3 linked regions of the Notamacropus eugenii genome follow. The protein of the gene in region 2 interacts with the protein of the main gene of each other region in a biochemical or structural test. Links are inferred from orthologs where the notes say so. Each region holds a gene or a part of one and is shown on either strand. Other genes may lie near its edges.

Region 1 (7,882 bases), on a different chromosome or scaffold from region 2:
TATACTGATTAAAACCTGGAGAAAGGGGAGTGTAAAGACACAGTTTCTACAACAGCAAAGAATGAGTGAATAAAGTTTTTAGAGCTTTCAGAGCATTATGGTCTTTCATCCCATCTGTAGATGTTTTATGACTAAAGAAGGTGAAAATAACAAGAAATTGTATCAGCAGCTGGCTGCTGATGTAAGATTTTTAAAGGATTGTTGATGTGATAGGGGAAATTGGGGGTTACTCCTTCATGAGGGAAATGTGGGTCACTGAAAGGTAGGAGGCTATCTTTTAAGCTATTAAAGTAGGCAGAAATGGACACGGGGCGCTGGAAAAAGGAATCTGTGACGACACACAGCAGGGGGCCAAACCCCGTGCTCTCCGAGCGATGGCAGTTAAGAATCGGTCAGGGGACAGGTTTCAGCTATGTGATCCCCGGTTGGCAGGAGAGACTCGACTTAATTGGCTAAGGGTTTCCTGACATCTGTTGCCCTTCAGTGCCACCTATCGTTGGAAAGAGGTGAGGCGTCTCCTAAGGGTCTACTGCTCTCTACTGCCATCTCTGGCTTCAGAAAGAAAAGCAGAGAAGGCTTTATAGTTGCTTTTGGTAGCTGAGTGAGCCAGTCAAGTCAGTTTTCCTGGCTTAAAAGAGATAAACTGTATTGCTATGAGATTGATTACACAATGAAGCACCTGGGTGAGAGAATCCCTGAGATAACCACTCTGATGAGCTTTGCAGTTCTCTTCAAGAGAATTGCTATTCATATTAATAGGTTAACATTTTCTAAACACCTTTCTAATGGTGATTATAAATTGGAGTTTGGAAATGCACTATTGGAGTAAAGAGAATTTCCTAGCCGAAGAGTTGGTGAGGACTAACCATCAGGAGCAGAAAAAGTTACCTGTGGTGCATGTTTTCTTGAATGAAGGAAGGATATTAGAACTTGCATTCAAGAGCTGTAATGACTAAACTCTTAAATCAAGATAATTTCCAGTTTAAATTAGGTGAATACAGAACAATGCAATTGAGGATGAATGCTCCCACAGCACCTAGATTGGCTTTACTAACTCAGTTATTCTCAATCATTTTTCTTTTGGTTCTAAGCACAGTACTCATGGCACATTGAATGTTTAAGTTGCTACTTCACCCTCTCTTGCAAGAAAAAAAAAGGATTCTTCCAACAGATGCAAATCACCATCTTCTCCACAATTTTTAATCTCAGAGAACTGCCTGACTTACCCAGGGACATACAGCCAGTATGTGTCAGAAGGAGGACTTGAATTCAGGTCTTCAATCTCTACTCACCATGCTGGGCTGCTTCTCACTCCCAGGTCCAGGTCTATCTGGATGGATGGATGGATGGATGGATGGATGCAGGCTAGTAATTATTAGTATGAAAGTTAAATTACAGTTTTAATGTAATGCCTTTCCCATTAACTAGCTGTGTGACCTTGGCAAAGTCATAACTTTTGGGGCTCTCCTACTCCTCATCTATAGTTGTTGTCTGTCCTTCATTCTGGAAGAGGACCAATAGCATGAGGGCAGTAATGTCTTGACTTGCAAGTGAATTAGATTTCAGGGAGGCAAACACCTGCAAAGTCATTAGCCTCACTCTCTCCTCCAGAGTGCTAACTCAAAACAACTGGCCATAGCCCAGGATGCTGTGGGAGACCTTGGCCTTTGTAAGCCAAGGGCTTTCCCAGGTCTCAGTTTGTCTGAAGCAGCCCACCAGGATTCTTCTGTACACTGAGAGTAAAGGATTTTCCAACTTTACCTTGTTTGCTGGCCTTTTGGAAAGATGGACCTCAAGCCTGTAAATTCTATGTCCAAACCTACAGGTGAAATTCATAAAAGGAAAGGAAGTCCATTTGTGAACAGAGGACCACATTAGTCACCAGGCAGTATTTAGTGAGCACTCAGCAGGCAGGATGCTGTAAGCCTAATGCAAAACGAATGGCTTCACATGTAGAACGGATATCGTATTTCTTGCCTTTACAAATGGATGGTGGAGGGAAGGAGAGAATTTGCAACTAAAAGTAAAGATAAGTTTTCTAAAAAGATGAATGCAGAACGATATTGGGGAGCAAAAATGGATGTGACGTCATCGATTTGTATGTTTCCTCATCTCCTCTCATTCTTGTCTACGTTCTCCCACAGATTCTTGGCCAGATTCTGACCTAACCGAAGGGGTGACCAAGGAAGCTTGTCCACCAGTAAGCAGACCTGGGGACAACAGGACCAATGGGCATGCGGGGCTCAGAATTAAGCAGAGGACGGGGTCCGGGGCTGCCTTCAGGAGCCTGCAAAGCTTGGGCTCTCCGAAGGCCAGGAGAGGAGAAACAGGAAGACTGGCAAACAGCCCAACTGGCCCCAGCCCTCCGAGCCTCCCTGGCTGAGGCTCAGGACTCACTGGGAGCTGGACCTCCGAGGGGGCAATTCGGCTCCCGGTTAAGGGCAGACACCTTCCAGCCCGCAGGGAAGCCCTAACCCAAAGCCAGGGCAGCGGGGCGGGAGTCAGAAGACCACGGAGCAGAAGCGGTTCCGATGCGCCTCTACCACTAACTGGCGGGGGACCCGGAGGGATGGGATGGGGTGGGATGGGACGGCATGGCCTCCCTGCTCTGCCCGCTCCGTTCCCTCGCCTGTAAAACGCAAGGGCCGGACACTCGCGGCCGTGGGCCGTGGAGCCGGGTCCCGCCCCCCCAGTGACACAGGAGGACGCGGGGCAGCTGCCCAGGCCCGGGGGGGCCTCTCCCGCCCAGCGCTCAGCCCAGGCCCGCAGCCGCGACGCCACAGGCGCCCGGGCCCTCGCTCCCTCGGGACGTCCCTGCCGGGCCGCGCGGACCAGGGGAGGGGCGTGGGGGCTTCTGTACCCAGAAAGTCGGAGCCCAGAATGAGCTCCTCCAGCAGGGGCAGCTTCTGCTCAAAGGCGTCGGCGCCCACCTCCATGGCCAACCACGTGCGCACTGAGGCCCGCTCAGCGGAGCCAGGCCCAGACCCTCGGCTTCTTAAAGGGGAAGCGCCCCCGCCCCCGCCCGAGGCCACGCGAGGGGCACGTGGGGCGATGGGGAGGGGGGAGGGGAAAGCAGCAAGAGGAGGAAGCGGGTGCGGAGGAAGGACTGAAGGGGAAGAGGAGAGAACGAGGCAGAAGGGGGAATATGAGAAACAAAGGAAGGGGCCCTGTTTCCACAGGGTTAGCACCACTCCCTCCCAGCTTTGCAGACGGGATAACAGGATGTAGCCAGAGGCACTGGTTCTGATGGGAGCCTGCTTAACGAGCTGTTTAATATTCTCCAACACACCCCCAGGGCGGGGCAGGTAAATGTAAATGCACATTGATGTACGACCAGGGAGGGGGAACATACCCAGGAGAACAAGCAATGGCTGGGACCTAGCATTCAGACAATGGAGAATAAGAAGGGGGGGGGGGGTGATTTGAATGGGGAACAGGCAGTAAGTAGCCTTCCATTTGTCTGAGCTAATTGTGTGGGATGGCTCAGGTCCCTACATAAATCAGTTACTCAGAGGCCTCTCAAAGTGATGACAGAAAAGTGATTTATTCAATTCTGGAGAAGCCGGGCTTACCTGTAGGAGTAGAAAAGCCGAAGACAAAGAAAAGATTTATATAGACCCTTCGTTACGCAAGTCCCTCCTCCCCCACTGACCATTATCCTCATTAGCTGAGAATATGATCTCACATTCTAGACACGAAATCTAACCAATCCCTTTGGAAATAAAGACATGGAGAAATTATGTAAGTTTTGTCCAATCATTGAAACCCTAATACACTACAGTTTTACATCCTTATATGGAACTATTCTATTCTAAAAATATTGTAACCTTGAGCCTTCAGGCCTTACCTCACCCCTGGGAGAAGAATTACAATCTGAGAAGTCTTCACTAAACCTATCCCACTCATAATGTACTCCTTTGGGGAGTTACCCATTCACAGGGCATGTAAAATAAACGTAAACTCAAACGGGAGCTTTCCTGGCTTCAGCACCAAGCATTGTTCTTTCTAGAGCAACAGGATTCTCACTGGAAGACTGAAGGAAGGAAGGGACGGACAAAGGGGAAGAGAAAGAAGGGAGAGAGAGAAAGGGAAGAGGGAAAGGCTCAGGTATGGAATGAACAGGTCACACTACACAATTGTTAACGTTCCCTTCAGCTCTCAAGACCTCATGATTATGTGATTCTCAGGCAGAGAATAAGGAGACTCCTTACCACAAAGCAAACAGAATGACTGGACACAGGAATAATTAAGGAAGTTGTTTCTCTAAACTTACTTGTGCAACTTGGGTTGTCCAGGGTTAAAGTACACATTGACTCGTGAGCAGAAGGAGCCCAGCTAAATTTAGAGCAAACATTTTATTTTGGATTGTGCCGCCTTGAGAATGCTAACTTTTCACATTTCCACTTTCCCAGACTACAGGCAGAGACACCGGTACAGGGAAGCCTGCTCTGGAGCTGGGGGTGGCGGGGGGAGCTAAGTCTGCAAGAGAGATTTCCCCAACCTGCCTTGTACATTACCACTTAGTTGCCATTTCATTACAACCCTCCTGGAAAGGTGACTGGAGCAAATTACTTAACCTCTCTGGTCCTGACTTCCTTCATCTGTGACCTCTAAAGTTCTTCCAGTTCTGATCCTAGGACTCTCCAATCCACTAGGGACCTTCCTCTGAAACAGCATGCAGTCTATTCAACTGGAAGCAGCTAGACACTCTAGAGATCTGGACTTAAAGTCAGCAAGACCCAAGTTCACATTGGACTTTAGACACACTTATTAGCTGAGTGACTCTGGGCAAAGCACTTAACTTGGCTGCCTCGGTTTCCTCAGCTGTAAAATGAGGTTAATAATAGCACTAAGGTTATTATCAGGATTAAAAGGGATATTTATGAAGCACTTAGCACAGTGCCCAGAGTGTAGTAGGTACTTAGTAAATGTTCATTCCTTCTTTTCCTTTCAGTTATCCCTAGGCCCTGGGTAGCTAGGTGGTGCAGTGGATAACAAGTACTGCGTCTGTTGTCAGGAAGACCTGAGTTTAAATCTGGCCTTTGATACTTACTGGCTGTGTGACCCTGGGCAAGTCACTTAACCTTGTTTGCCTCAGTTTCCTCATCTGTCAAATGAGCTAGAGAAGGAAATGGCAAACCACTCTGGTATCTTCCCCCCCCCCTCAAAAAAAAGCCAACTGGGGTCACAAAGAGTCAGACACAACTGAAAATGACTGGACAAGTCCCTTACTTCGACATCTTCATTCCTTTCCAGGCTGCACTTCTGACTCTCCTGGGTCTTTCTCTATGATACCCCAGAAATCTCCTCACCCTGGAAACTCGGTCTAATCCAGGACTTCACACATTAGAAATATGTACCCCCTACTTTGGCTTTGCACATGGTAACCTGTATGTAACCTGAGATGTATAAATCTTTGCAGAGACAAATAGCATGCAACGTAAGTAACTGGAATGAAGGGTGGCAAAAGGTATCACATACATCACAAGTATAACTCTTATTCTCTTTACCTAAAATAGCTCTTAGTAACTATTGTTCTCTACATTTTCTTGTTTACATCATGTTTAGACAAATGATAACATTCCCCTACAAAGGGAATTCAAAAATGCACTATGCAGACTTAGGACCTTACCTCACTAGTCCTCATCCTTCCTGCTCCTATCTACTGGTTAACAAGAAAGCAAAAGACAAAAACAAACAAAAAAAAAGAACCCTCTCTAGGAAATACAAATAAAATTAAGTCAAACAAGGGTGGGTAGAAAGGGAAAGAAAAGAAGGGAAGAAGTAGAAAAGGGTCATCCCTAGTACCATCTACAAGCTTTGAGGACTAAAAGCCCTGGATATTTTAGGATTTGGGGCAGCTAAGTGGTGCAGTAGATAGACTACTAGACCTAAAATCAAGAAGACTCATCTTCCTGAGTCCAAATTTAGCCTTAGACACTAGTTATGTGACCCTAGGCAAATCATTTAACCCTCTTTGTCTCAGTTTCTTCTTCTGTAAAATAACCTGGAGAGGGAAATGACAAACAACTCCCAAAAAATCCCAAATGGGTCATGAGTACAACTTAACATTATTTTAGGATATCTTTCCCCAACGATAAAATCTACTAGATCGTAGAATAGTTTCCCCAAAAGAATCTAGAGGAAACTGAGTCATTAAAATAAATTAATTCATAATAATAAGCAGGTAGAACCATCTGTTCAGTCAGTCAACATTTATTAAGCATCTATCTGCCACAAATTGTGCTAAGCACTGTGGATACAAAGAACGGTAAAAAATAGTCCTTGCCCTCCAGTAGCTAACAATCTCTTACCCCCCCAGAACAGAAATAAAGTATTTTCCATATCTTGTTTTCCATTATACAAAAATACATTAGAGTGGGAAGAACGTAAAGGGGAAGATTGGTAGATTTATTTCTAAGAAGAGTACTATAGATTCTTAAGGTTAGAAAGAGCAGCTTTTCCTCTTGCCAGTTAAAAAGGTCCCAAATTCTAACTTCTACCATACAAATTGCCCCATAGTGATTATTTTCTGTTGTTACTAGAATTTTGTAAAAACTGCATGCGAAAATAATTTTTTTTTTCCTAGGGAAGGTAAGTGGCATGAATTATAAGTTATATCTTTATTTAAAAAAAAAACCTCACCCCAAAGAGATCAAAGAAAGAGGAAAAGGACCCATTTGCACAAAAATATAGCAGCAATTTGTGTCATCAAAGAAACTAAGGAGGTGCCCATTAGCTAGGGAATGACCGAACAAATGCAATGAAACACTGTTTATCCCCTATGAAATGACAAAAGGGGCAGTTTCAGAGAAACCTGGGAAGACTTGTATAAACTGATGCAGAATGAAGTGAGCAGAGCCAGTGGAACAATTTATACTATAACAGCACTATAAAAACAATGTTGAAAGACTTTAGAATTCTAATCAATGTAATGATCAACTATAATTACAGGGGACCAATGATAAAGCATGTTAATGCTACCTACCTCCTGAAAGAGAGGTGATAGACTCAGGATGCAGAACAAGGTCTTTTTGGACATGATCAATGTAGAAATTTGTTTTGATTAACCATGCACATTTGTTACAAGGATTTGGCTTTTCTTTTTTCAATGGGGGGAAGTCAAAAAGAAAATACTCACACTCACACTGAAGAACTAGGAAGTCTGAATTTTGAAGGAGTATCAGTATATCAATACTCAGTCAAAACCCAGACTTCCCAGGTCCTCAATCTACTCAATTTTCATAATATTCCTCCATTCTTTCTCAGCTACAAAGATGATTATATCTTGCCATCACCACAGGTGGAGACACCACCACTGGAGATATAGTGGACCGGGTTAGCACAGGAATGATTTCCTTCTGTACCATTTAGCAGCATGGGAATAAAAGCAGATAAGGTGATGGTGGGAATAATCCAAGTATGGGGTTTGAAAAGGGATGAGTGACAATTGGATAAAAGAGGCACAGTATTCAATGGCAAAAAGACAGCTCAAGTGGAACTGCTTTTATAGGGTCAAGATTCTGAAGACAGGAAAAGAGTGATTTATGTAGTTGTGTCCCTTTAGAAATTAAAAAAATAACTCCGATGGACTTATAAAAAATGCCATCCATCCCCAGACAAAGAATTAATGGTGTCTGAATGCAGATTGAAGCATACTTTTTAAAAACTTTATTTTTCTTGATTTTTTTTTTGTTTTCTTTCACAACTTGACTATTATGGAAGTGTTTTACATGACTAGTTGTGTATAACCTGTATCGAATTATTTGCCTTTTCAGTGGGAGGTGGGGAAAGGGAGAGAATTTGGAGCTCAAAGTTTTAAAAATGAATTTTAAAAATTGTTTTTACATGTAACTGGGAAAAATAAAATACTACTAAATTT
Region 2 (7,635 bases):
CCACACTCACTCACTCTGACAACTTTTCTCTCTGTCTCTGACATGGCCCCTTTCAGACTACTGTCTATTTTCCAGGAGGTTTGCTCACTTTTCTTCTCCACTCTGCTAATAGAAAGACAATGAGTCCTTAGGGAGCAAAGGGGTTCAAAGGCTGTACTTGATGCCTAGACTCTCATTAAATCCTTTCCTTGTGCAAACGTGGGGAGACTTTCAAGGACCTAGATCTTGAGTTTGGGGCCTGGGAAAATGGTTGGATTGGCTGCCGGGGAGGCAGTGACTTTGGCCAGAGAGCAAAAGGGGAGGGGAGTGTGAGCCCTGGTCCTGGACCCGCCCCTTTCAGGCCTCATTCCCCTGACTCATCCCCACCCCCAAGCCCTTCTGTAACAATCATTTCCATTTCCATTTGGGCACTGCTGAAGGTCAGAAGCACCTAGATCCCCTGTCAACAAGTGAGAGGGGCCTTGAGCCCTAGTCCCTACATTCTCATTTCAGTTCTCCCCAGTGCAACAAGATGTAACCAAGGGACCCAGCACAGGTGGCCATGACAGCTGGCACCATGAGCACGCCAACCCTTTTCCTTGACTCAAATCAGGTTTTGTTGACTTACAGTGGTCGAAGTGCTGAGGTACCGTCTCTCAGAACCATGTCACCAGACCAGTCTCTGAATTTGGGGTCTATCTGCTAGAATGGGAGAGGCTGGTATCCCCCCACAGGCTTGCAAAAAGTGTTGGACCCCTTTTATGTGGCCTGAAAGCCCTACCCTAGAGTCCTCCCAAAAAAGTATTGACATGGTCTCCAGAAGGTCCCCCTTTCAACATACGTGTGAGTTGCGACAAGGAGGGAGGGTGTTTTCTAGCTATCTCCACGTTCTCTCCATATCAGTCCAGTTGCTCAAGTGTTTCTCCATTTGGGCTTGGACAGACCTTGCCTGAGCTGCCTCAGAGATCAATGTCCACCTGTCACAGTAGCATCTGAATTCCATCTGAAACCGAGCCAGCTTTTTAAAATGAATGCTAAAGACCCTTCCAGGGTCAGGGAACTCACCCAGGAGAATTTAGACATAGCCAGGAATAATTATAAAACAGATTAGAAGGCAATAAACTCTATGATCCCAAGTGTATAAAAGTATTAAATGCTATGAGACTGGGTGAGGAAGAAATGACTTTTAACCAGGGGCATCAAGGGATGCTTCAGGGAGAAGGGTAGGAATTCAACAGGTGGAGAGGGAGGAGGATGAGCAAAGACAAAGAGACAGGAAAGGATGAGACACTACAAAGCAGGGTGAATCATGTAGTATAGAATGAATGGAGGCCAATGGGAAATGAGGCTGACAAGTACAGAGGTGGCTGATTGAGTGCAACGATAAGGGTCTTGGGCTGTATTCAGTGAGCAATGGGGTACACACTCCATGGTTTTGAACAGAGAAACAATGTGATTACAGCTGTACATAAGGACAGAAAGGCTAGGATTAAAAAAAAGCCTGAGAGAGCTAGACAGGACTTTGGGGATCATAGATCCACAACCCACAGTTCACCTCATCCAACCTCATTTTACAGATGAGGCAATTGAGGTCTAGAGAAGTCAAATTACTTCCCCAAAGTCTCTTGGGTAGTTTCTTTGGTTGTGGGTTTCAACCCAGGTCCTCTGTCTCTAGGATCAATGTGCTTTTTGGTGTACCATGTTGCCTAAGCAGTGGAGAAAAATGGACTTGGCTTCAGAAGATCCCAGTTCAAATCCTAACTCTGCTCTTGACTATCTGCCTGCTGAGATATTCTGTTAGATAGATAAAGCATTCATTAAGCCATATTGTGGGTCAGGCTTTGTTCCCCTCTGCTTGCCACTTGCCCATAAGGATCTTATATTCTAATAGCCGAAGATCACACATAAAGAGAGATCACATTCTTGGGACCATGACATGGGCAGCCTAGGAAATGGAGGGGAGGCCCTATTCACCTGCAAGATAAAGGCAAAAACACAAGGACTTGGGGGAGAATCTGGAATCCACAAGATTACTGGTGGGGAGAAAGAGGAGGTGATGGTCCCAGGAGAGGCTGCATGGATCCATCTATCATCCATTCATGGATGGATCTGGGGATGTACATTATTTCTTATGTATATTCCAAAAAGGACATGTATATCCCCTTAGCACAGCACTTGGCACATAGTGAGGACTCCAAAAATGCTTGTTGACTGATAGATTTGGGGCAAGTCACAATTTCCTTGAGCCTCAGTTTCCTTATATGTAAAAGAAGGAAGTTAGACTAAATGATATCTCTGAGGGCTCTTCTAGCTTTACATTCTTTTTCATTTATTCATTCAATAAACAGTTATTAAGTGTCTACTATGTAAAAACACTAGAATTAAGAGAGGTTGGGGAAGACTTTCTGTAGATTTTAGTTAAAACTTAAAAGTTAGGGAGGTCAGTAGTCAGAGTGGAGCAGTTAGAGCATTCCAAGTAGGGGGGACAACCAGAGACCTAAAGTTTTGTTTGTGGTACAGCCAGGAGGCCAGTATCACTGGACCAAAGAGTACATGGCAGGATTCAAGGTATGAGAAGGCTAGAAAATTAGGAGGGAACTATGGGTTATAAAGGACTTTGAATGTCAAACACAGCATTTTTCATTTGATCCTGGAGGCAACAGGGAGCCAATGGAGTTTACTGAGTAGGGGGATAACATGATCAGACCTTCACTTTAGGAAAATCACTTTAATGGTTAAGTGGAAGATGGATTGGAGGGGGAAGAGACTTGAGGACCGCAGACTAACCAACAGGCTACAGCAATAGTCTAGACAGGAAGTAATGAGGGCCTGTGCTAGGGTGATGGCAGTGGAGAGAAGGGGGCTTATTAGATGTTGCAAAGGTAAAATCAACAGGTCTTGGCCACAGCTTGGATATGGGAGGGGGGAGGAAGGGCAAGACAGTGAGGAATCCAGGATGACTCCCAGGCTGTGAGCCTGAGGGCCTGGGAGGATGGTGTTGCCCTTTACAGTCATATGGAAGGTAAGAGGGGGAGAAGGTTTAGAGCGAAAAATAAGGAGCTTTGTTTTGTTGGACATATTGACTATAAGATGTCTACTGAACATCCAGTTTGAGATGTCTGAAAGACAGCTGGATATCTATGATCCTAAATTTCCTGAGGCTATCTACTTCAGCCCAGGACACCAGGATAGAAAAGAGAAGAGAATAAGGGCAGAAGCTCTTGGTGGAGAGGATGGTGGTCCTGTGTCGAAATCTTTTTAGCAGGAGTTAGTTTAGCCTTTGGCTGGGAAAGTTATTGCCCCTGACGGCAGGGAGAAAGGCTAAAAAACCCAAAGGCCTAGGTGGGAAATAGTAAAAACAGAAGGTGCCAGGGAGGCTCTCCACTTAAGACAGAGGACCAGCCACCCTTCTCCCAATAAGGATTGTCAAGGCTGTTGATGCCACATAAAGCTCTGACCAGTGACTTAATCAGATCACCTCCATCTGCTCAGTGATTTTGTCACAGCCTGACACATCCACTCCGAATGCTGCCTTCATGATCTTAGGTGAGTCACTTAACCCGTGTGTTTCAGTTTCCTTATTGGTAAAATGAAGGGGGTGGATTAGATGACCTCTCTAAGGTACCTTCCAACTCAAAGTCTATGAATCTATCTTTCTTTGAAGCCCCATGGTCCAGGGCAGAGGAGTTAAACACATGTTGGAGACAGACAATACACTCTTGAATGGCTGGAAGCAGATTAAAGTGTAACTGGGTAAAATGTAACAGAAATATTAAAATGAAATAAAATAAAGATATATTGCATTTTAAAACTAAGTCAATAAATCCCTGGGGGGGGGGGGTTCCTTATGTAAGGATTAATGGATCCTATTTCTGTGAGTTTGATAGGTCTAAAGGAGTGAGGGGCTGGTCAGATCAGCCAACTCTTGGGTTAACTCTTTACTTGCTGGATCTAACTTTAGGGTAGACTGAGCCCCCTCTTGAAATCACAGTCAAACATCTAGGCCACCAACCTCCCTCTAGCGGGACCAGCACATGACTGATGAAGGTCAAGGTGGAAAGAGCAGTGAATTTGGAACCAAGAAAGGGAGGACAGAGAATCTGGGCATGGAGTAAAGTCTGGGAAAAGACACAGAGAGGCCAGATGGAATGTTGATATATCCTCTAGTTAGGTAATAGCAAGTAGGCCAGTTTGGCTGAAAATGCTCTATTTTCTGGGTGGGAGAGTGGGAGGGAGTGAAGAATAACCCATGAAAGATAGGTTGGAGTCAGGTTGTGAAGGGCTTTAGAGGCCAAAGAGAGGAATTTCTATTTTCTCCTAGAGGCCATAGGGAGGCAGCCAAACTCGAGCATGGAATAGCCAGGGCCATGGTCAAGCCTGGCCTTCCATCCATCAGCCTGTTCAGCCGTTAACTCTGTGACCTTGGCCAAGATCATCTCCCTCTCTGGTCTTGTCTGTTGATTTGTAAAATTAGGGAGCACGCTGGGAAAAGGGTCTTCCGAAGGGGGTGGTCTTCGTTTTGCCCACCTTTCTCTGAGAGTGGAGGTCAGTCTCCTTTTCCATCTTTCCTTGGGGCATCCAAGCGCTTCCTCCAGCACCTACACTTAGCTCGTGCAGAGGAACGCCAGGAGAACCCGCCCCGTCCAGTCCTGGAATTTGGAACGGAGATCCCGCGGAAGGGCGAGAAAAGGGTGACCGGTATCCCTTCCTCTCCCGGCCGAGGGGCGGGAGGCGGGGTGGCAGTTGGGCCCGGTGCCCGGTGCCCCCGCTCTTGGGCTCCCCCGCGGTGCCCCCGGGCCGCCGGCGGGGCGGGGAGGAAGGGTAGAAAAGGGGCGGGGAGGGGCGGGGAGGGGGCCGGAGCGCTCGCCGGCCGCTGGCTCTCTAGCTCCCGGGCTCTCCAGCTCCCTGGCTCTGAAGATGGCGGCGGGTAGGCGCTCCCCGAAGAGCGGGCTACTGGAGCTGCGGGCTCCGGGCAGCGCGGGGCCCGGGCCCTGGCTACGGGTCTTGGTCAGCCTGGCAGCCGATGTGGTGACGGTGAGCGCCGCGCCGGCTAGCGGAGAGCCTGAGCCGGGGCCGGGCTCCGGCTCGGAGCCTGCGTCCGCGTCCTTGCCCCAGCTCAACGGCTCGGACTCCGGGGCGCCCGCAGCCCCCAGAGCGCCCCCAACGCCTCCACTGCCCCACGCGCTGCTCAACCAGAAGCGAACCGTGCGTGTGGTGAAGCAGGAGGCGGGCGGACTGGGCATCAGCATCAAAGGTAGCGGCCCCAGGGGCACGGGCTGGGGGACACGGCGGGAGCACAGGGGCGGCAGCGGGACGTGGGGAGGGCAGCCGAGCCGGGCTGAAGGTGAAGAAGCCCAGCATGGCAGAGCGACAGAGACAGGAGGGGTGAGGGGCGCTCTGCGTCCTGGCGCCGTGCCGGGCACTGCCCTGTCTGTCGGATTGACTGCCTGTCTGGCTTTCGGGGTCCCAGCGTTTGCGGGAGGGTGACCGCGGTGGGAGCCGATCAGACCCTTGAAGATCACGACCTGGCCACATGGAGACAAACGCAAGTTCTTACCCAGTTTCTCGCTCTGCAAACTTCACGGGACAGCGGGGCCTGGCAGGCTGAGCTGGTGGGCAGGGCCTCCGCGAGGAGAGCAGCCCAGTCTGGGGACTGGCTGGGAGCCTGGCTCCAATGGTAGCCTCATTGCTTCCTAGTCCGAGTCTCCGGGAGCTCCACGGAACCCTCACAGGGTAGTGCCTGTCCACTGTGGTCTAAACTCTCCAGTCCAGCCTGTTGGCCCTGGCTGGAAGTGAGGCAGGACTCCCTCTGCCCTCTGCTGTGCCAGTTCCCCGAGCCTGTTACATAGCACTCCTCGACCCTCCCACCTTTGTCCTCACAGTGATGCTCTGCTCCTGGTAGGTTTTAAAGCTTACAAAGTAGGTTCTCCACCATTTTACATGTAAAGAAACCCCAGAGAAGCTAAGGACTAGGAAGTATCAGAGGCAGAATTGGAACCCAGGGCTCCCAGCTCGAAGACCAGAACTGCTGCCGTCTCCATCTGCCTTGTCCTTCAGCTTTCCATAAAATTAAGGTCTGGCTTCCAGGCCATTATAAAGGTGGGGGAATCTTAGTCCATGATCCCTCCCACTTCAGTCCTGGTTTCTTCATCTCCGCTAATCTTCCCCTTCCCTTATTTTTCCCCCTTTCATGTCTTTCTCTTATTTATTTCTCTTTTCTCTAGTCTCTCTTTTCCCTGACTTCTCTCTCCTAATTTCTCTCTCCCCTAAGAGCTATGTGGATGCTTATGGGTCTGGATAGGGTAACAATTCTCAGAGGGCTGAAGGTCCCTTTGTCCTGGGTCCCAGAGCCATATTAGGACATTTCTGGTCACAGATGGTTTTTGTAGCAGAGAACAGACAAAATATCCCCAGACATCAGCAGGAAGAGCCATTAGAGGTAGAGTTAGAATATTGGGGGGGAAGGGGAAGAATCACCTCTTCCAGACTGATATGTGAATGGCAGGATTGAATGCTATCGTAGTCTTAGGATAGAATTTCCCATCAGACAGCATGCAGCAAGTACCGTCCACTGACCCCTTTATCATTTTGTAGAGAGTGAAAAGAGGGGAGATGAATTATCTTAGGTCACACAGGAAATTAACAGCAGTCGAAGAGACTCGTACCAAGGTCTTCCAGTCCTCAGCCCACAGCTCTTTATGAGTACCCCATAATCCTCCTCTGCCTTTGCTCATTGCTTGTGCCTCCCTCCTCCTTTTCCATGGAGTTGGCAAAGGTGGACAGCTAGGTCTCCATTGAGAACAGAGCCCTGCCCTTTCCAAGTGGGAAAGACACACTATCTATAGTTCTCTCTTGGATTTGAGGATGAGTTCTTGTCACCTCAAGGGAAGTCATTTCTCCTGAACCTGGTTTGGAAGTTTGGCTATTGAGGGTTCATGACAGTCTCAGCTAATGCTGTGTTTAGAGTTCTACTAACTTTTTGCTTTGGAGAACAGCTCATGAACTTGGAGCTATCCCTTCAGGTCTGGTATTCTTCTTGGAGGTAGGGTCCAAAGGCCATAAAACCTCTTAGCTAAGGCCACTTCCTCTCCCCCCCTAACCACACATACACAGCCTTTCTGCTAAATAAGTTTTTTGAGTCTAATGTACTCTCTGGGGTTGTGCTAAATCCCCTCCTCTTCCTAGGCCACAACCTGTCCCTCCATAAAATGGGGAGAGAACTGTTAAAACAGAATGAGTCTTGGACCTGGGAGTCAGGAGACCTGGGTTCTAGTTCCAGTTCTACCACTGACTTACTGTGTGACCTTGGGTGGGTCACTCCCCCTCTCCAGCCTCAGCTTCCCCTGTGTAAAAGGAGAGGCTTGGACGAATGACCTCTGAAGTCTCTTCCAGTTCTAATGGTCTCTGGTTCCATTTTTAGGGTCCTCCTGCCTTTTCCTATACTTTTCATAATGCTAGTAGGTACTTATTTAATACCTGTCACCCCAATTCCCTGGCATTGATGCCTGTTTCCTTATCTCCTGCGTGTGCCTACATATATACCTGTCTGTGTGTGCATCCTCAGGTGGCCGAGAGAACAAGATGCCCATTCTCATCTCCAAGATCTTCAAAGGGCTGGCAGCTGACCAGACAGAGGCTCTGTTTGTGGGCGATGCC
Region 3 (7,037 bases), about 220 Mb from region 2:
AAACATGATTTTAAAGCATTTTAAAATATTTATATGAAAATAGTTAATAATAAAAGATATGGAAATGTGGAGAATCACAACATAATAAAATGGATGCATAATATAGCTGAAAAAACAGATTTTGCTTGTATTAGTTAACAATTTCAATCAAACTAGCAAGTATTTTGGTTCATAATAACTAACATTTATATAGTACTTACTATGTGCTGACCAAGGTACTGAGTGCTTTACTAATTTTATCTCTTTTGATCCTCACAACACCCCTGTATATTATTGTCCCTGCTTTACAGATGAGACAAAAGGAAGTTAAGTGACTTGCCCAGACTCACACAGTTAATAAGTGTCAACTATATGCAAGACCTCAAGAGTAAATTCCATTGGGATACAAAACTTTTAAGCAAGATATTATCTGTGTTTCCAAAGGGTTTACAATCTCATTTGGTAAACAACTGAAGACAGCATGAAAGGTATTTAACAATACCATCATTAAATAGCAGTTCAAGACAATTAGAAAAGAAGTTCCAAGGTAACACACAAATGGGAGAGGGACCAGATCCTTGATTTCAGTGACATATGGAATTCTGGGTTAGCACCTTCTCTGCAAATTAAGATTTTCCATGAGGTCAATGACTTGCCTGGAATAGCACAGCCAGTATAGGAAGAACTTAAAACTAGATCCATCCACCTGGCTCCAAAACCAGTTTTCTATCCACTGCACCAAGCTCTCTTTGATAAATGAACTAAACAAAATGAGAACTGTATAAGTTTAGAGAAATCAGAGTTACTTCAGTCTGGGGTAGTAATAGAAAACTATATAGAACAAGCCTGATATGGGCTAGATCTCAAGAAATAGGTAGGATTTTTATGGACCCTAGAAGACAGGGCATTCCATGAGCAAGAGTAGTAGAGGCAAGAGGCCTCACCTTAAGGAGAGGGCTGGGTACATAGTTTGGTTTATGGAGTAAGTGGTAGCTAAACCTGGAAAGTCAGGTTGGGATCATGCTAAAGTTTGGGGAGTCACTGAACATTTTCATGCAGAAGCAATCAATGATTAAAGTAGCATTTTAATAAGATCAGTCATGCTGCAAAGGTGCTCACTGGACAGGAGGGGAGGACTGGGGTCAGAGGGATTACTTAGGAAATTACTTCAGGGGTTAAGACATGACATAGGGGGCTTGACATGGAGTAACAACAGTGGGGATGTTAAGGAAAGCTGGATTCAAACACTGCAAAGGAAGACTCAAGTCTTTCAAAATGTACTATTGGATATTCCCTTTAGAACAATGTGTTTAGATGACAATCCAAATGATTACATGGGTGTGTTCCTCATAGAGATCATTTTAAAAACTACTTCTAGGAAGGGGAAAAAAACTATTTTAAATACGAAGTCATGACTTATGAAATAATTAAGAACAATCTAGGTGGGTATGTTGAACTTTCTCCTCTTGACCTGGTATACTTAAGGGAAAGAAGCCATATCAAAGCAATGCTAACAATCCACCTCAATCTCTCATAAGTAAATGAAGGAGTTAGAGGTAACCTAGTAAGGTTTCATTTTTAAAAGTATGCAAACCATATATTATATTAAAGGACCAAAATGGTTATTAATTGTTCCATTTTTTTTCTTTTTTGGTTTCTTAAAATCACTGCAACTTAGCAAATTCAACTGAGAAGTTCTAATATTTATCATCAGACAGAAACTCTATGTATTTTATTCTAAAGATCTATCAGCAATAATATAAGTAGCTTTTCGGTTTTGAATATTCATGTTGTTAACACATTTCTAAAACAGGGAATCAGAGTACCCTGTTATAAGAATTTCCTAAAACTTGGCAGGGGGAGGGGGTTTGTTACATTTAGAGTCTTATACAAGTCACATACTTCCATATATTTAGAGCATTCCTGCATATGATTATAGTCAATTTATTGACAACTAAGCCTTTAAACGCCCATACAACCAAATATTTTTTTATCTCTCACAGAAATATAATCAATAGTCTACTGTCCTTCTGCGATATTTAAGGCCAGTAGAATCTCTTCCTGTAACACTTGACAGTGATGGTGACTGATCGACAGCCTTCCTGTCCTCTCCCCATCACAGAGCAGCACCATTTCCAATCCTTTCCAGGGCCCTGATCTATTTTGAGACTCTCTCCAGATAAGGAGGAAGATGGGCATGTGCTTAAGCTTGACACAGGTTTGTAGTTACCTTAGGATGGTTACTCCATTGGTAGGAGGCAGGCTGGTAAATCTCAGGGCAGAGTTAAACAAATGCAGAATAAACAAATCACTCCCTGATGGTGTCCTCTTGTAGGTCAGGTTTGGGCCTGAAGCAATTTTTATGGCTGAATTCAAGAAATGCATAAGTTATATGTCTGAGAAGTGACCTTACAATATTTAACAGACATTGTTTATTGCATCTGCACTGCATGCTTGGAGAGCTAAGCACTCCAGTATGGTTGTAAAAACCAATTCCTCTGCTAGTGAAGAATTTGCCTGCCATCCAGGTGCCAGATTTCATTGCAGGAGTGCCGTTTCTTATTCTTATAATGTGGGCATACATGTGAACATACATATATGTTCATTATTCAGTATTTCTATTTATACATGGAATTAAAAGCCTGTATCAAGGCCATATAGCTGCAGATTCATGTTTTTCTTCCTTGCATTTGCAGATTTACTTTTATCTAGTCTTGTGCTGCTTTGGGTGCTGGTGATAATACCAAGATAATACCAACCCTGCCTTCAGAAGGGTTAACAACTGGCTAATTTGAAACATGTTCTTTTGGCAATTCAAAAGTCATCGCTATACTTCTTTAAATGCTTTGGGATTTTAATCCTCTTGAGTATTTACATATTTTCTCTTCTCATCCTTACAAAATTAATCCCAGAGTTTTAAGAATCTGGGAACTTGGGCAAGGGAGAAAACAACTGATCAAACTGAGAAATCAGAAGTCCCTGTTCATTACGTCAACCCAAACTGACAGCACTTTTTTCTGTTTGTTTTGAACCTCTTAGAATAATAAATCATGTGAGTAACAAAACAAAATACAGGTGTTATTACTGAGTGTGAAAGGTTTGAACTGTAATTAAACACGCTCTTTTTTGTAGGAAGTGTCATTTACTTTGTACGCTAACATTTGCGTTTCCTTAAACCTCTCTTTGTATTATCCACACACGGTTGCATCATACTTACACATTCATTAGCTGGGATTTGGATTTGGGTGTGTGTGTTTTTCCAATTAGTCTCCATCGTTAGATGCACAACCTTCGCTTCTTTTATGTAACTACCGCCTGGAGCAGCCCGAGCTTCTTAGAAGCCTAGCGCCCACAAAGCGCTCCTGACAGATGCGTGGTTATCCCCCCTGCGAAACCCGTAGCGCTGCTTGGGAGTTTCTCTCTAGCGGATAACACCCTTCTCTGATCCCCCTGAACCGACGGGTGTGAGGCTGCCCAGGCCCCTCTGACCAGGGGACACCGCCAGGTTTTCGGATCCGAGAATCAGACAAACAGCCCAACTCCTCCAGCCCGACTTTCCAAACCGCCCTTCTCTTTAACACCCTCAGTCTCCTCCCCTCCGAACCCAGCAAGCCCTTTGCAGTGGGACGGAGCACACGTTTCCTTCGCTAAGGATCCAGAGCCCCCGTCCCCCGTTCCCCCAGCGCAGGGCTGAGATCCGTGCTCATGCCGCCCCCCCTCACCAGGCTCCCCGGAGCCACTTAATTGCCCGTGGGAGGGCAGTAAGGCGGAGGAGGGGGGTGGGGGACAAAACGGGGGCGTGCCTTGGCCCCTGATTGGCCGCAGGACACTGACGCGAGGCCTCCGGGGCTGGGTTGGGGGGAGCTAACTGTGGGTTAGGGTGGGGTGCTGGGTGCAGGAGCTGCCAGACCGGAGCGCTCAGAAACATGCTGAAGTGTTGGCAGCGACAGCAGCTACAGCCGCAGCCTGCGAGAGGAGGGAGGCAGCAGCCGGCGCCGAGGTCCGGGGCTCCGCGCTGCTGCACGCAGCTGGCCTGACCTGGCCCCGGCCCCGGCCCCGGCCCTGACCTCTCTCGCCGTCCCCTCCCACCTCTAGGCTCTCCGGGCTCCGTCCCCACCCCGAGACTTCAGCTCCTGCCTCCTCACCATGGGAGATGGTGCGCTCGGCTTAGGCTACGAGCCCTACAACCTGTCGTCTCCTTCGCCGGCCCCCGACGGGGCGGGCGGGGAGGCCGCGGCAGCCACGGCCGCCCGGCTGCTGGTGCCCGCCTCCCCGGCCGCCTCTCTGCTGACCTCGACGACGCCGGCGCCCGCGGCCCTATCCCAGCAGTGGACGGCGGGCATGGGCATGCTCATGGCCCTGATCGTGCTGCTCATTGTGGCGGGCAACGTCCTGGTGATCGTGGCCATCGCCAAGACGCAGCGTCTGCAGACGCTCACCAACCTCTTCATCATCTCCCTGGCCAGCGCCGACCTGGTCATGGGGCTGCTCGTGGTGCCCTTCGGGGCCACCATCGTGGTGTGGGGCCGCTGGGAGTACGGCTCCTTCTTCTGCGAGTTCTGGACGTCGGTGGACGTCCTGTGTGTCACCGCCAGCATCGAGACGCTGTGTGTCATCGCCCTGGACCGCTACATCGCCATCACGTCCCCGTTCCGCTACCAGAGCCTGCTGACCCGGCCGCGGGCGCGGGCGCTCGTGTGCACCGTGTGGGCCATCTCGGCGCTCGTGTCCTTCCTGCCCATCCTCATGCACTGGTGGCGGGCGGACGGCGACGAGGCGCGGCTCTGCTACAACGACCCCAAGTGCTGCGACTTTGTCACCAACCGCGCGTACGCCATCGCCTCCTCCGTGGTCTCCTTCTACGTGCCGCTGTCCATCATGGCCTTCGTCTACCTGCGCGTCTTCCGCGAGGCGCAGAAGCAGGTGAAGAAGATCGACCGCTGCGAGCGGCGCTTCTACGGCGGCCCCCGCCCGCCGCCCTCGCCCTCGCCGCCGCCGGCGCCCCGCCAGCCGGGCCCGTCGCGCGCGCCGCTGGCCAACGGGCGCCCCGGCAAGCGGCGGCCGTCGCGCCTCGTGGCCCTCAAGGAGCAGAAGGCGCTCAAGACGCTGGGCATCATCATGGGCGTGTTCACCCTCTGCTGGCTGCCCTTCTTCCTCGCCAACGTGGTGAAGGTCTTCCACCGGGACTTGGTGCCCAACTGGCTCTTCGTCTTCTTCAACTGGCTGGGCTACGCCAACTCGGCCTTCAACCCCATCATCTACTGCCGCAGCCCGGACTTCCGCAAGGCCTTCAAGCGGCTCCTGTGCTGCCCGCGCCGGGCCGAGCGGCGGCTCCACGCCAGCGCCGGGGAGCTGTCGCGCGGGGGCTCCGGGGCCGCCACGACCGGGGGCTGCGGCAGCTCGGCCGCGGGCTGCGGCAGCCCGTCCCCCGCGGCCGCCGACGCGGAGCAGGGGGAGCTGCTTCCCTCGGCGCCTCACTACCTGGAGCCCTGGGCCGGCTGCAACGGCGGGGCGACCGGGGACAGCGACTCCAGCCTGGAGGACAGGGACGGCAAAGATTCGTATTCGGAATCCAAGGTATAGGACCGGCCGCTGGGCAGGGGCAGGGGGCGGTGGGGCGGAGGAGGGGGCCGGGCTTGTGTTTTCTTTTTACTTTCTGGCGGGGGCTACAGGGCAGGTGGTTTCGCGGTGGGGGGCCGTCGGGGAGGAATGGGGGAGTGGGGCTTCCCCCCCCGCCCCTTCCCCACACCCCCACCCAGGAAACTGGTTTGGAAGTTCAAGAGGAAGAGAGCCAACAGCCCTGAACTGTCTTCACAGGGAAGGGAGGATCTGTGTTTACTCAAGACCGAAAGCAGGTGATAGCGTATCCTTCATACCTCTTCTGAATCATCCGCGACAAACAAAAGCAACTGGACCGTTGAAAAGAAGGAAAGTTGGGGACGGGGGGAGTTGGGATTTTTGGACTTTTCTTCCTGACTTCTGGGGGGAAGATGCCTGTTTTACCTTTTCCACTCTAATTCTGATCCTTCAGGCAAGGATTGAGAAAGTGTTAACTGGTTAGATAAGTGGGATGGAGAAAAGAAGATGGGATTCAGAAAAAAAAAAAGAAAAAGAAAAACCATCCACTTGGTTTCTCCAAGAGCTGCACTTAATAATCCTGCTTTGGAAGACTATCACCTGTTCCCATCCAATTCCCGGGAACTGGACCAGTCAAAGTAAGAGAAAAGGAATCTGGAAAGTTTGATGGGACAGGGTTTTTCTCGGTTCCACGAAAGATTTTTGTCATTATTGTTTCAAAGTCTGAATGGTGACATCTTTAAAGAAAGCAAAGTGGAAAGGTTGCAAAAATCACGTTCACCTTTTACGAGTTTTATTTAGAACAAACAACCTGGCTTTCCTGTTTCGTCTTGGCAATGGTGATGAGGCAGAGGGATTCCTACCTCAAACTGTGCATATTGCACAGGGATTTTTTTTTAAAGATATGTTTATATTAAACAGATTATTTATGTATCAATATTAGTTAAAGGACCAGGCGCCAGCCTCTGTGACACGTGACTCTCACAATTTGGAGAGAGGAAACAGTCTTAGGGTCGAGAAAAATTACTGCACATTTGGAAAAAGAAAATAAAAAGAATGGTTCAAAATGCTTTTTTGCACAGTGTTAGAAATTGTAAAGTCCACTGAAGATATTACTTGCACACACATACACACACACAAAAAAAAAACCATTTAATGAGGGGAGGAGAGGGAGTTGAAAATAATCTGAAATCCAAACTCTACTTTTTTGTCTGTTATATTACTGAGTTGATGTTTTATTGAAAAAAATGACTTTTTATACTATTTTATCATGGTACTGTAACTGTATCCATACTAAAAATTTAAATATAAGGATTTTTTTTATTATTTTTGTACGTCCAAGTGCTCACGTGAATCTGCTGTTAATTTAGCACTTGTGTGTCCTTTCAATTTCCTCCTGTGTATTTTATAAAGTATTTATACTCTGGTGCAACTAACTACTGTGTAAGTAAATGGTCTATGTGCAATAAATACAAATGCAG

The links. The genes of interacting proteins can lie anywhere in the genome.
Region 1: the proteins of SNTA1 (region 2) and proto-oncogene Mas interact in a test that uses a peptide from one of them, tested with the Homo sapiens proteins (2 studies listed by BioGRID and IntAct). The link is inferred for Notamacropus eugenii from reciprocal best matches to the Homo sapiens genes SNTA1 and MAS1.
Region 3: the proteins of SNTA1 (region 2) and ADRB1 interact in a test that uses a peptide from one of them, tested with the Homo sapiens proteins (2 studies listed by BioGRID and IntAct). The link is inferred for Notamacropus eugenii from reciprocal best matches to the Homo sapiens genes SNTA1 and ADRB1.

Annotation. Positions count from the first base shown.
Region 1 is NC_092873.1:253,575,215-253,583,096, reverse strand, and holds the start of proto-oncogene Mas, read right to left. Parts: upstream 3,009-7,882; 5' UTR 2,861-3,008; intron 1,820-2,860; exon of another isoform or gene 1,762-1,819; intron 1-1,761. UniProt on the Homo sapiens protein: Receptor for angiotensin 1-7. Acts specifically as a functional antagonist of AGTR1 (angiotensin-2 type 1 receptor), although it up-regulates AGTR1 receptor levels.
Region 2 is NC_092872.1:417,512,346-417,519,980, reverse strand, and holds the start of SNTA1 (alpha-1-syntrophin), read left to right. Parts: upstream 1-4,632; 5' UTR 4,633-4,896; coding exon 4,897-5,233; intron 5,234-7,543; coding exon 7,544-7,635. UniProt on the Homo sapiens protein: Adapter protein that binds to and probably organizes the subcellular localization of a variety of membrane proteins. May link various receptors to the actin cytoskeleton and the extracellular matrix via the dystrophin glycoprotein complex.
Region 3 is NC_092872.1:192,519,143-192,526,179, forward strand, and holds ADRB1 (beta-1 adrenergic receptor), read left to right. Parts: upstream 1-4,029; 5' UTR 4,030-4,125; coding exon 4,126-5,556; intron 5,557-5,796; coding exon 5,797-5,838; 3' UTR 5,839-6,613; downstream 6,614-7,037. UniProt on the Homo sapiens protein: Beta-adrenergic receptors mediate the catecholamine-induced activation of adenylate cyclase through the action of G proteins. This receptor binds epinephrine and norepinephrine with approximately equal affinity.